Linked DNA regions of Drosophila melanogaster. The protein of the gene in region 1 interacts with the protein of each later gene in a biochemical or structural test. Each region holds a gene or a part of one and is shown on either strand. Other genes may lie near its edges.

Evidence for each region.
Region 2: of the proteins of Arf1 (region 1) and Sec71, one has a biochemical effect on the other in vitro, tested with the Drosophila melanogaster proteins (one study listed by BioGRID).

Annotation. Positions count from the first base shown.
Region 1 is NT_037436.4:22,867,974-22,874,238, reverse strand, and holds Arf1 (ADP ribosylation factor 1), read left to right. Parts: upstream 1-2,007; 5' UTR 2,008-2,182; exon of another isoform or gene 2,183-2,426; intron 2,427-2,514; exon of another isoform or gene 2,515-2,919; intron 2,920-3,151; exon of another isoform or gene 3,152-3,392; intron 3,393-3,944; exon of another isoform or gene 3,945-4,024; intron 4,025-4,088; 5' UTR 4,089-4,249; coding exon 4,250-4,397; intron 4,398-4,464; coding exon 4,465-4,574; intron 4,575-4,616; exon of another isoform or gene 4,617-4,694; intron 4,695-4,767; coding exon 4,768-4,893; intron 4,894-4,992; coding exon 4,993-5,157; 3' UTR 5,158-5,731; downstream 5,732-6,265. Other genes in the region: CG11109 (uncharacterized protein), read right to left, coding at 551-1,804, 1,893-1,958; EMC4 (ER membrane protein complex subunit 4), read left to right, coding at 6,087-6,142, 6,203-6,265. UniProt on the Drosophila melanogaster protein: Small GTPase involved in protein trafficking between different compartments. Modulates vesicle budding and uncoating within the Golgi complex. In its GTP-bound form, triggers the recruitment of coatomer proteins to the Golgi membrane.
Region 2 is NT_033779.5:13,791,558-13,799,532, forward strand, and holds the start of Sec71 (secretory 71), read left to right. Parts: upstream 1-1,963; 5' UTR 1,964-2,290; coding exon 2,291-3,071; intron 3,072-3,338; coding exon 3,339-7,381; intron 7,382-7,450; coding exon 7,451-7,588; 3' UTR 7,589-7,975. Other genes in the region: CG16863 (uncharacterized protein), read left to right, coding at 1-38, 108-1,578.

The sequences.
Region 1 (6,265 bases):
GAGATTCCGCCAGCGTTAAAAGCCTTCATCGATGTTCTCATCATATTTAGTAATTTCCTCAAGCACAAACAAAACATGCATTTATCGGGGTCCCATCAATGATTGGTAATATTTTTGACTTCCTTTTAACTTACAACTCGTAAAATCATTAAGTAAATCTTTGTCGTAGAAAGTTTTAAAGTTCCCGAAATGCATAATTTTGCTTTTAACAAGAATCGTTAAATAACAATGACGGACTTAGATTTAAGTAAAATTACATTAGTTATGAATTGTAAATTATTTAAGTTCTTTTTAACTCGAAAACAAAAAGATAACATTATGTATCTCCATTAAGATAGCACAAGCAGCTATGGGAGAGCAAAGCCTAAATGTTATCAGACTGCATTTTTCAAATGCTTTTCTAAGCGTAGGGTTGAAATTTTCTTGATCAAATACCACTAGCGTAGGTCTCACTTATATCACTCATAAGCCGGCTTACTTTTGCAAATCAAAACGAATGTTTAAATTATCGAGCCCAATAAACAAAAAATTTCAGTGAAGTTGAATTTATTTATATTTTCTGAAACTTCGCAATAAAAAAGCCCACAGTGTCCGCATTTGCTCCGCTTGGACCGAAGCGCTGCAACAGACGAGATTTACATGCCTCGAAACCGGGAAGCGGAAGTCCGGGACCGCCCCACCGGGGAGTGGCATCTGTTAGCCGCAGCTCGACAAATTTTCTTAGTGCCCAGGCCACAAGACATTCGCACTCATCCTCGGTGACGGTGCACGTGCTATATACAAGGATGCCGCCAGGACGAACGAGCTGCACTGCCTGTTCAAATAGCCGGCGCTGAATATGGGGATATGAGGACAAGACCTTAACCTGTTTAATGCTGCAGGACAACTGTGGCCGGTTGCCCAGCCCACTGCAGGGTGCATCGAGCAAGATTCGGTCAAAGCTTTCACATGGAAACGGAGGCCCAGTGAATTCTCCCACGGGTGCAGATGGAGCGTCCGCTGCCACTGCCTCGGTGGAGTTAAAAACATGCGCCGTTATGCTTTTGTAGTGTCCCAATTTGGGCAGCATGCTGCGGACGCGACTGGCCGAATTGTCTAGGGCCACCACAGATCCCCGATCGCCCATCAACTCGGCTATGTGGCTTGTTTTGTTACCCGGAGCGGCACACATGTCCAGTATGCGCTCGCCGGGCTGCGGATCCAGGACACGGACGCAAACAATAGAAGGCAGGTTTTGCAACAGGCCGTCTTCGCTGCTTAGATCCCCCAGCGTGGGCACTCCGCTGACGTTGGACTGCATTTCCACGGCCACTCCAGAGGCGGGCTTCTCCGCGTTGTTGAACAGCTGATACCGCTGCATTAACACCTTGCCTGTACCCAGGAAAACCTTATTTGGGCTTTCGTACCGCTTGACCGTCCCGCGCTTGCATTTTCCATCCAGATCTGCGTAGACATTGACGAGTTCCTCCCGCTCAGTGTTTGACTCCATAGCTAAAACACCGGGGGCGTATATGTGGGCGCCTCGCAGTAGTGCAGCTCCGCAGTTAGTGTCAACCACTACCTCCTTGAGCTCGGAGTCGGCCACAGCTTTGGTGAGCTGTGAGTCCAGCGGATCAATGCACAACATCTCGGGTAGGTTTGGCAAGCAGTAAATCCTTGGAGATTTTACACCGTAGCGAATGGCGAGTTTTTCTTCTAACTTTTTCCGAAAGTCGTCAACGGAACACCTAAGAGTGTTCACCCTGTAAGTGGTGACTTTGGGAGTAAGGCACAGCCATTCCAACAGCGGAGCAAGTGCAGCAGACTTGACAAAACCAGGAATTAACAGTTAATAAAATTTGCAAGCCAGTTTTTGTTGTAAATACGTATTTGTGCACATTGAAAGTACATACATTCACTTTAAGGATATCGGCTTCCAGCAACGGGTTCACCAAAAATGGTGTTTTTGGGTAAAACATATTAACATTTAACTTAGTTCAAATCACCTGGATAGTGAACTTTATCGAGTGAGCATTGTGCGACAATGATGAATCGATTAATCCAAATCGTTGGCAACTCTAGCCGAGGTGGCGGAGAAGAGACGTGGCAGCATTTCCCGAGTTTTCACCACGGGACTACACAACATCGGCATCCCGCTCTAGCTCATGCGCTGCGCCCATCTCTATCGGCAACGTTTATGTTGGTGAGTTTGCAGTTTTTTCAACAGCAAGTGTATTCTCGGTCAAGTTTTATTTTGCTCTGTGATTTTAGACATTTCCAAGCAGAAGTTTTTAAAATTTCCGCTCCTAGCCGTGTGCATTTGATTCAATTAGTTGGTGCGTATGCGTTTTCAGTCGAAAAAGGGGGTGGTATGTCAAGGCAGAGATACTTTTCTTGATTTTAAGAAGTTCCGCAGTAATGTAGATGTTCGTGTGAGTGTTTAGTGTGGGCTATCCACGAACACTCGCGCAACGTACGCGGCTGTGGTGAATAGTGGAAGTATTAGTATTGGAAGCCGCACGAATTAATCGTCGGTGCTTTGTTTATAGCATTATCGTAACAGGAGACAAGGACAAGCTCTCCTTTAATTACAAAAGTGATAGCTAAATTATATAATTGGGAACATTTTACAATCTCTGTTCGGCAGACAATAGTGACTTGTGCTCATCGACTATCGGTAGCGGATGCTATCGATACATTTCTCTCCATTATCTTTCTATTCGCAATTCGGTGTGTGGTGTGTTTGGCAGCATAGAAAATTCAATCAAAGAAAAGTCCACGAAAAAAGGCAGAATAATCGGTAAATGGACGTGTAAAGTGTCACTGAGCTAAAAGGATCTCAGTTAAAAGAAGTCCAAGTAACTTCGGACCGGTCTCTGTATTCTTGTAAAAACAAGGGACGGCGGCAGCCGCATTTCACCAACCCATAAGAAAAACAGCGTACGTCACTCACACAGACGCAGGCAACCACGTATAAAGTTCAAAGTTGTCTGATCCCGATCCGAAAGTGGGCTTAGTTGCGAAATGTCTGAACATGGGGCGTGGGCTGGCGAAGCGTTCATCTTCGAGCAGTGACGCCCTCCGCCTGGAGCTTCTATTTAAACGCATTAAAGGCAGCAAAGGCAGGGCGGCTCAACGCAGTTGGCAACCCTGGCGCCTGCGGGTGTATGCGTGAGTGTGCGGTGGTGGGCTGCCTCGCTTCCCTCAGCGCTAAATTAAAAGCTGCTACGTGTAGTTTTCGATTTCGGCTGCTTCCAAGCCAACTATCGTCAGCTGGCATCAGCATCTTCTCAGTAACGTGGAGCACCTATCTTTGCGCACTACCGGTCCGGAGAAGAAGTCTCTGGGGTGTTAGTTCCCTGTAACAAACTTAGGTTTTTGGATATCCGATTGCTGTCAAACGAAAGGTTTCCGTATGTTTCGCTGGCAACCTTTTTTCTTTTTGTGTTCGTGCGAAACGGGCTTGCTCATTGCGTTCCTCCATTTTAACATGAATTGCTTAGCCATCGGTTGCAGCCTGCTCGGTTGCAGGGCTCAAAAGGCGGCAGCGGTGACTCACTGTAGAGTTTGGGAGCTTCCCCTCCGCCCAGCAAGTTCGCCGAAAACTGCAAGTTACCTGGCCTTATCATTCACGCACTTCTCAGCCCGCACGTTTCTTGCGTACTCTGTGTAAAGTGGGTGGAGGACGTTGGAAGGGAGGCGCTGAGCGCCGACAGCCGTCATGGTTCTATACTAAAAATCGATATCTTATCAGCAGCCGCTAGCGGGGCAAACACTAAAAGCAAGCGACTCGTGTTTCATACATCCTCCATTTCGCGTTGTATTTAAGTGTGGAATTAATTACATAAACAAATTTTCTGTTTTTCTCATGCTGACGCATTGAAGACGTCCTTATTACAATAAACAAAAACGAATTTCGTTTCTTTTTCCGGTTTTTCCGCTCTTCCGGTTTTTGTATGACTCAGAGTGGGTAAGCGCCATTCAACACGTAAGCGCGATCATAAGTGAAACAAACACCAGAGGAGCTTCGGCGCATCCGTCCTTTGTGATAGCTCTTCCTACCACGAAAAATTCTCGCCTACAACTGTCTATTTTTGGACTCTTCACAGATTCTCCCACTCCATGCACACAAGTGTGCAGTTTGCATATTCTGATCGGTATAGCAACTCGGATTTGAACTTGTCATAATTCCAGCCAGCAGACAGCGAGCAGGCCAACCAGAGATCCAACTTCCTACGACTACCGAGCATCCGAAAGACAAACAGCAGCCATGGGAAACGTATTCGCGAACTTATTCAAAGGCCTATTCGGCAAAAAGGAAATGAGGATATTGATGGTCGGTTTGGATGCCGCTGGTAAAACCACAATTCTGTACAAACTCAAATTAGGCGAAATTGTTACAACGATACCTACCATTGGTAAGTATCTTATTAGCACCTTTAATGTATCTTGTCCAAATCTAATATCTAATGGTTGTCCCCCTAGGTTTCAATGTGGAGACTGTAGAATACAAGAATATTAGCTTTACAGTGTGGGATGTGGGTGGCCAAGACAAAATTCGTCCCCTGTGGAGGCACTACTTCCAGAATACACAAGTAAGTGTGATTTCAGCTTTTCCACAGATTCCAGAAAATTCTATATGATGTTAACAGCTTGTAATGATTATGCATTGTGATTATTCAAGTTTATTTTGTTTCAAGACGGGACTGACTATATTATCTTAGAGATCTATCTCCTACGATTCAAGCCAGGACAATTGGAATAAAGTTTTCATTTGAATCGTTACAGGGTCTTATCTTCGTCGTGGACAGCAATGACCGAGAGCGTATCGGTGAGGCGAGAGAGGAGTTGATGCGCATGCTGGCAGAGGACGAGCTGAGGGATGCAGTCTTACTAATCTTCGCAAACAAACAGGTAGGTCCAAGCAAAGGTTGTCGTTATCAGTAGCCAGTTGCTCGGTCCTTATATTGTCATACTAATATTGCACCTCGCTCTTTTCTGGGATCATTTTAGGATCTGCCAAATGCAATGAACGCGGCCGAAATCACCGACAAGCTCGGCTTGCACTCACTCAGAAACCGCAACTGGTACATCCAGGCGACGTGTGCAACTAGCGGTGATGGGCTGTACGAGGGACTCGACTGGCTGTCCAACCAATTGAAGAACGCTAATCGCTAATTAAACACTAAAATTAAAGCAACAATATGAATACAACTAACTCTGATTTCAAGCGAGCCGAAGCAGTTAACCAGCAACCAGAACCATAGAAAGAGCGGCTGAAGGACATCCAACATCCAGCGGTAAACGGTGGAAATCGACATCAGAAGGAATTTTCACAAAACAGCAGCAGCGGCACCAACACCAACAACAAGAGCAGCAGATCTTCGCATAACTTAAAGGGCTCCGCATGTCCGTATTTCCAAACAAGAAACTGAAATTGTTTATTGAATTGCAAAAACATAACCTTTCAAGCAGCATATAAAGAACGCTATAATATAATTTAAATTCGTATACATAATTATTGGATGTTTAAAAGCAAATCGAGTAAAAGAAAAGCCCAACCAATCACACAAGAAAGGAAACTATAGTATATGGTATAAAAATGTCTTTTTTAAGTTATTTTTGTCCTCTCCCTACCCCTCATCAAAATATATATTTCTTTTTAATTTTATAATATTAAAGTAATATTAATGAGAAAAAACTGTAATTGTAATTGCTCTTTAAAAATACAACAAATACCATTTTAATTTTTAACCCTTCTGTTTCTTGTTGTCGCTTGGTCACGCAAAATCCATTAAAAATCACGCATATATATAAGACCATATTAAAAAGGAAAGTACTACTTAAAAGGTAATTTGAAATAAAATTTAAATATTAATGAAAACTACTGCGCTGTTCGATTTTTGCACATGCGTTTCAAAAAGTCCGCGCAAAATCGTAACTGCCTATCGATACCCTGGTGCCATACACATCAGTTGCCTATCGAATTGTCTACACTACAATAATTTCGGAATTTAACGTTGAACAACACTCAGCGACCAATTGTCAGAAAAAATCGTCATTTTGTTTTATAAATTGGCAAAAGATTAAATAAAAGAAAGCACAGCATGTCCGCCAAGCAAAACCCAAAAAAGTTAAAGTGGGCGCTGGACTTTAACGGGAGGTAAGGATTGCTAGCCTGCGCGGTGACTCAAGTTCTTACCACTTTTGCTTTTTCCTGCAGCAAAAATGCTGATATTCCTTCGCCGCTGGGCTACAATCCATCTGCTTTGGTGAACCAGAGTGA
Region 2 (7,975 bases), on another chromosome or scaffold:
CTTCCCCAAATTCATGCTGTACCATTTGCCGGCCATGAGTAAGTTTTAATCAAAAGATAGAAGGTAGAAGATAGATACAATTGTAGTAAACTTCATTTATTACCCAGCAACTTAAAAATGGAAGAACCTCTGCCGAGCGAGAGTCCGTTTCACAAGGACATTGCCTTCTTTGTCTGCCGTGACCGCCAGTCATTGCAGATTGTGCAGGGCGAGGGATTCCAGCACCTAGTGAAAGTACTGTGCCCCACCTACAGACCACCGAGTGCGGCGAAACTGGAGGCCATTATCTGCAGGGAGTCGGAAGCGCAGAGGTCCAAGCTCTGCCAGCAGTTGGCCGACATCTCGACACTCAGCCTAAGTTGCTCGGTGCACACGAATGCGGAGAGTCGAAGCTGGATGGAGCTGGTGGCCCACTTTCACGAGGGGCGGCAACGAATCTCCCGAACTCTTTCTGTGCTGCGCCTTCCCGATCTTTTCACCTCCAACGATCTGGTGGATCGCATGGACCAAGTGTGTCAGCGCTTCGACATTCCAAAGTCAAGGATCTGCTGCGTGTCGACAAGGAGCAGTCAACTACTGGAGGATGCGGTGACATCGTTCATGGGCGCTCATCATCATGTTCCCTGCTTCGCAGACCAATTGAATTCTATTTTAGAGGAGGTGGTGCAGCGCCCAGAAATACGTCATTTGCGCGACAAGGTGCGTTCCCATGTGCAGTCCACATTGCAGCTGAATCCCCAACTGGATTCCATACACCGACCGATTAGTGTGTACAATATGCTAGACTTATACCTGAAACAGACTCTCGTTCAAGAGCCGCTGCCGCTTTCGACATCGGAGGTGGATTTGTGTCAGCAATTGCTGGACGTGCTGAGGCCGTTGACCAGCTCCATGCGTGAGCTAAGTCGAACACCATATCCGGCGGCCAGCACAGCCCTGCCCATTGCCCAAACTCTGATCAACGAACTGAAGCAGGAGAAGAGTGCGGAACACATGGTTGCCAGGGAAATACGCTTGTTCCTGGTTCAGCAGCTGGAGGAGATCTTCGAACGAATGGAGCGCAACTTGCACCTGGCATTGGCAAGTCTGCTGGACCCACGCTTTCGAAATATTCCCTTCCGGAGTGGGGCCCTGGTGGCCCAGTACATGACTCAACTCTATGACATGATGCAGGCGCATGTGGACAGCGGGGAGCAAGCTGTTGCAAAGCATCCGGAGAACCGTGATCACTACGATATCTGGGCGGCATTCAAATCCTTTTCGCATGGGAAGCAAAGGATTGTAAACGGCAGCAACGGTCCCGAGGCGGACGATGAGATAGCCAGATACTTTTGCGCCGGCATGAGTACCCTGCGAGCCGATCCCTTTCAGCTCTGGGAGGAACTGGCCGAAGCTCACCCCTTCCTGCACAACGTAGCACAGAGGTACCTGCACGTTCCGGCCACCGCAGAGCCGGCGGATCGGCTATTTACGGCCGAAGGAGCGGCGGTTGCGGCGCAGTACGCCAGACTAATCGAAAACAACATGGAAAACATACTCTTCATGGCGGAAATTCCAACGAAGGAGTGGCAGTTATAGCGTAGTCCATAATCAATCCAAACCTAAGTTGAGCACTGTGTTTTTGTACCCCTTTTATTAACTAATTTATTAATTTACATTTACAATAATGCGAACTATAAAATACATTTTTTAACTTTTTAGCTTCTCAAGCGTTAAGGAACTATTTTTGTATTAGAAAATTAGAGGTAGGGAACGAATAACGAACACATATTCATTAAAGATTTGTAAGTACTATTTACTACACATATTTACACAAATAATTTATTTTAAATATAACTTTATTGTTTACTTTTTTCTTTTGTTATCACAAATCGCCGTTACAAATTCAAATAACAATAACACCAGCAAATTAGCAAAAATACCAAAACCGAGAGAATACCAAAAACTTCCCAACACTGCCGACAGCTCAGTAATTTTCGCTTACACGGTCACACTTCTGATGACGTTTTTTCGTATTTTGAAGGGAATGTAAATGTGGAAAAACTGAGAGATTTGCAACATGCAAACATCCACGACACGCTAAAAACTCACCGAGTGCCGCCACACGACAATCCAACCGAGAGGAGCACTCCGCACAGCTGGCGGAGCACCCAGAAGGCAGCAGGCGAAAGTTGCGTGGCTGTTGTTTCCGGAAGCGGTGGGCAGAGGGAAATCCGAAGCAGTGGTAGTAGGGAAAGAGGCATCGAAACCCACCCAGCGAAGGCGACCTTGGGAGTGGCAGCGGCCCAATATGCACAACAACTCCACAAAAACCAAGGAAATGTTCATCGTGCGTGCTCTAGAAAAGATCCTTGCCGATAAGGACATACGGCGCTCCCATCACTCGCAGCTGAAGAAGTCCTGCGATTCGGCGCTGGAGCAGATTAAGGCGGAGCTAATCAGTGCCGGCCAGATCGCAGAGGGCAATGAGCTGCCCTGTGCCGCACTCCCGCTGCCCAAGAATGATGCAGCGAGCATCATAAATGCGGAGACCTACTTTCTCCCCTTCGAGCTTGCCTGCAAGAGCCGCTCGCCCAGGATCGTGGTCACCGCACTGGACTGCCTGCAGAAACTCATTGCCTATGGCCATTTGACAGGATCCATTCAGGACTCGGCCAATCCGGGTCACCTGCTCATCGACCGTATCGTTGTGACCATATATGGCTGCTTCAGTGGTCCCCAGACGGACGAGGCCGTCCAACTGCAGATAATAAAGGCTCTGCTCACGGTGGTCACCTCGCAGCATGTGGAAATCCATGAATTCACACTGCTGCAAGCTGTGCGCACCTGCTACGACATCTATTTGTCCAGCAAGAACCTGGTCAATCAGACCACAGCACGCGCTACGCTCACCCAAATGTTGAACGTGATATTTGCCCGCATGGAGAATCAAGTGTACGAGCTACCACCTCCCAATTCCAATCCCACCAACGGCAGCATCCACTCGGAGGATTGCAATGGCTCGGGAGAGGAGTCGCTGCGGGATTCCGACGAAGTAATTGCCTCGGAACTGCTGGCGGAGATCATATCAGGTGCGTGGCACTCGGTGGAGAAAGTTTGATAAACAGATGTTTCTTGTTAAGCTGAAGTTGCTTATTATTCTACTTAACTCGCTTAGATTTAACTATTTTTCAATATTTTCAAGAAACGTAATTAAGTTCATAAAATATTTCTTATCGGATGGGAAAAAATTGTATGAATCATTTACAGTACGATACGATAAGGTCCAACATAAAATTCCACTCCTCCAAACCGTCTAATTATCATTGCGCGAAAATAATGACAGTTACGTTTTTCAGCTGCCTACAATGAGGCGATGAAGGATCAGGAATCGGTCGGTGAGCCAGAGCCAACACTTAATGGAAACGACTACTCCTCGCACTCGGATCACGACAGTGTGGAGCTGCACAGCGAAAACGATGCGGTTGTAACGGCTAAGTTTACGCACATCCTGCAGAAAGATGCTTTTCTCGTGTTCCGGGCACTGTGCAAGCTATCGATGAAGCCTTTGCCGGATGGACATCCAGATCCGAAATCGCACGAGCTGCGTTCCAAGGTGCTGTCATTGCATCTGCTGCTGCTCATCCTCCAGAATGCCGGGCCCGTCTTCCGCTCCAACGAGATGTTCATCATGGCCATTAAGCAGTACCTGTGCGTGGCCTTGTCAAACAACGGAGTCAGTCTGGTGCCGGAGGTCTTCGAGCTGTCGCTTTCAATCTTCGTTGCCCTACTCTCGAACTTCAAGGTGCATCTTAAGCGGCAGATAGAGGTGTTCTTCAAGGAAATCTTCCTAAACATTCTTGAGGCGAACTCAAGCAGCTTCGAGCACAAATGGATGGTAATCCAAGCGCTGACACGTATTTGTGCTGACGCCCAGTCCGTGGTGGATATCTATGTTAATTACGATTGCGACTTTTCGGCTGCAAACCTTTTTGAGAGACTGGTCAACGATCTTTCGAAAATTGCCCAGGGTCGTCAGGCTCTCGAACTGGGCGCCAATCCGATGCAAGAGAAATCGATGCGCATTCGCGGCCTGGAGTGTCTTGTCTCCATTCTTAAGTGCATGGTAGAGTGGAGTAAGGACTTGTATGTTAATCCAAACATGCCGGTTCCACCTATGCAAGTCCAATCGCCGACAAGCACTGAGCAGGATCAGGCGGACACAACTATCCAAACGATGCACAGTGGTTCCAGTCATAGTTTGAACTCCAATCAGGAGCAACTACAGGATCTTCCCGAGGCATTGGAGGAGCGCAAGATGCGCAAGGAAGTGATGGAAACAGGCATTGAGTTATTCAATCGTAAGCCTCAGAAAGGAGTGCAATTCCTGCAGGAGAAGCAGTTGCTGGGTGCCACATGCGGGGACATTGCGCGCTGGCTGCACGAGGACGAACGACTGGACAAGACAGTGATCGGAAACTACATTGGCGAGAATGACGACCACTCCAAGGAAGTGATGTGCGCTTACATCGATGCCTTTGACTTTCGCCAAATGGAGGTGGTGGCCGCCTTGAGATTTCTTCTCGAGGGGTTCCGCCTGCCAGGAGAAGCACAAAAAATCGATCGGCTGATGGAGAAGTTCGCCAGTAGATACTGCGAATGCAATCCGAAGAACCAGCTATTCCAAAGCGCAGACACCGTCTACGTGCTGGCATTCAGCATCATTATGCTGACCACGGATCTTCATTCGCCGCAGGTCAAGCACAAGATGACCAAGGAGCAGTACATTAAAATGAACCGCGGCATCAGCGACAGCAAGTCCGATTTGCCCGAGGAGTACTTGTCGTCCATCTACGACGAGATTTCTGAACACGAAATTAAGATGAAGAACAACTCCGGTATGCTTCAACAGGCGAAACCCACTGGAAAGCAGGCCTTCATAACGGAGAAACGCAGAAAGCTGTTGTGGAACATGGAGATGGAGGTCATCTCGCTGACGGCCACCAATCTAATGCAGTCAGTTTCGCACGTCAAGTCACCCTTCACCTCAGCGAAACACTTGGAGCATGTCCGGCCCATGTTCAAAATGGCTTGGACACCATTTCTGGCCGCTTTCTCTGTGGGTCTCCAGGACTGCGACGATCCTGAGATTGCTACACTCTGCTTGGATGGTATACGTTGTGCTATTCGAATCGCATGCATCTTCCACATGTCCCTGGAGCGAGATGCCTATGTACAAGCCCTGGCCAGGTTTACTCTCCTGAATGCTAACTCGCCCATCAACGAAATGAAGGCCAAGAATATCGATACCATCAAGACGCTTATAATGGTAGCCCACACGGATGGCAATTATCTGGGCAGCAGCTGGCTGGATATAGTGAAGTGCATTAGCCAGTTGGAGCTGGCCCAACTGATCGGCACTGGGGTGCGGCCCCAGTTTCTTTCTGGAGCGCAGACAACGCTCAAGGACTCGCTTAATCCCAGCGTGAAAGAACACATCGGCGAGACGAGCAGCCAGAGCGTGGTGGTCGCAGTCGATCGTATTTTCACCGGCTCAATGCGACTGGATGGCGATGCTATCGTGGACTTCGTGAAGGCCCTGTGCCAGGTGTCTGTGGATGAGCTTCAGCAGCAGCAACCGAGGATGTTCTCCTTGCAAAAGATAGTGGAAATTAGTTACTACAACATGGAGCGTATTCGTCTGCAGTGGTCACGCATTTGGCAAGTTTTGGGTGAGCACTTTAACGCGGTCGGATGCAATAGCAACGAGGAGATCTCATTTTTCGCCCTGGACTCACTGCGTCAGTTGTCGATGAAGTTCATGGAGAAGGGCGAGTTCAGTAATTTCCGCTTCCAGAAGGATTTCCTGCGTCCCTTTGAGCATATCATGAAGAAAAACGCATCGCCGGCAATACGAGATATGGTGGTGCGCTGCATTGCCCAGATGGTAAACTCACAGGCGCATAACATCCGTTCCGGCTGGAAGAATATCTTTAGCATTTTCCACCTGGCAGCGGGAGACAACGAAGAGCCAATTGTGGAGCTGGCCTTCCAAACCACGGGCAAAATCATCGGTGATCTGTACAAGCGTCAGTTCGCCATTATGGTGGACTCGTTCCAGGATGCGGTCAAGTGCCTGTCAGAGTTCGCCACCGCCAGATTCCCCGATACCAGCATGGAAGCCATACGTCTGGTCCGTACCTGCGCGCAGTGCGTCCACGAGGCACCACAACTGTTTGCGGAGCATGCCGGCATGGAGAACGACGCCTCGGTGGCCGAGGAGGATCGAGTCTGGGTGCGCGGCTGGTTTCCGATGCTATTCTCGCTTTCCTGCGTGGTCAATCGCTGCAAATTGGATGTGCGTACTCGCGCCTTAACCGTGCTTTTTGAGATTGTGAAGACGTATGGTGAGAGCTTCAAGCCCCATTGGTGGAAGGATCTCTTCAATGTGATCTTCCGTATCTTCGACAACATGAAATTGCCGGAGCACGTCACCGAGAAGTCCGAATGGATGACGACCACATGCAACCACGCCTTGTACGCTATTATTGATGTCTTCACGCAGTATTTCGATGTTCTTGGTCATCTGCTGCTGGAGGAGCTCTTCGCCCAGCTGCATTGGTGTGTTCAGCAGAGTAACGAGCAGTTGGCGCGATCTGGCACCAATTGCCTGGAGAACCTCGTCATTTCGAATGGATTCAAGTTCAACGAGTCCACCTGGGACAAGACGTGCCAGTGCATCCTGGACATCTTCAACGCCACTTTGCCGCAGGATCTCCTCAGTTGGCGGCCGAAAGCACATTCCAGTAACAATATACCCCAGGAGCACAACCACTTTGAGGCGCTGCATATCCGCTGCGTAGTCCAGCTGGAACTGATACAGACCATGGATAACATTGTCTTTTTCCCGGCCACGTCGCGCAAGGAGGATGCCGAAACGCTGGCCCAGGCGGCGGCAGACTTAACAGGCGGCAGGAGCGGTTCGCAGTCGCAGCTGCTGGAGTGCCAGCGGGAGGAGCAGGGAATGTACGGCTATCTGAGAACCCGCCAGCTGCTCACCCTGGCCGACTGTCTGATGCAGTCGCACCGTTTTGCCAAGCGCTTCAACGCCGATCACGACCAACGCAGCCTGCTTTGGCGGGCGGGATTCAAGGGATCTGTTAAACCGAATCTGCTGAAGCAGGAGACCTCGTCGCTGGCCTGCGTCCTGCGCATTTTCTTCAAGATGTACGGCGACGAGAATAGACGCAGCGATTGGCCCGGCATCGAGCAGGAACTGGTGCAGGTCTGCAAGGAGGCACTGGGCTACTATTTGAGTTTGCAGAGCGAGGCACACCGAGATGCGTGGACATCGCTGCTGCTGCTCATCCTGACGCGCCTGCTCAAGATGTCCGATGCCAGGGTGAGTTGGTTTAATACACTATATCCTCTAGTTCCGTTGTTAATAAAACGCACATATTTCTTTTGCTAGTTCGCCACCCACGTTTCCAACTACTACAGCCTGCTGTGCGAGATGATGTGCTTCGACCTCAAGCCCGAACTGAGAAGTGTCCTTAGGCGTGTGTTCATGCGCATCGGTCCAGTATTCAATATAATGAGCGTTAAATAGTCACGGAGGAGCCGCAGCCACCTGGCTAGCTGACTCGGCCATGTTAATAGATCGATTCCCGATCCACCCGAAATCCCCTCAAATCGTAGTTCATAGTGGGCCCTCTGGTTCCCTCGGCTTTGTTGTTATGTTGGCACTTAATCATTCATACAAGTATATATATTTTTATTATATTTATAAACAATACATAGTCAGAATGTAATGTTTACTAGGTTTAACGAGAAATGTTGTTGTTTTTATATATATATATAAATATATATATATATATATATGTATATGTATATGCATATGTACATACCCCTGGGTATGCTATGTAAGGCTTTAACGTGTGCGTGTGTATAGTTTCCTTCAGTTACGAATTTGGATTTTGTTTCCCCGGTGTAACAT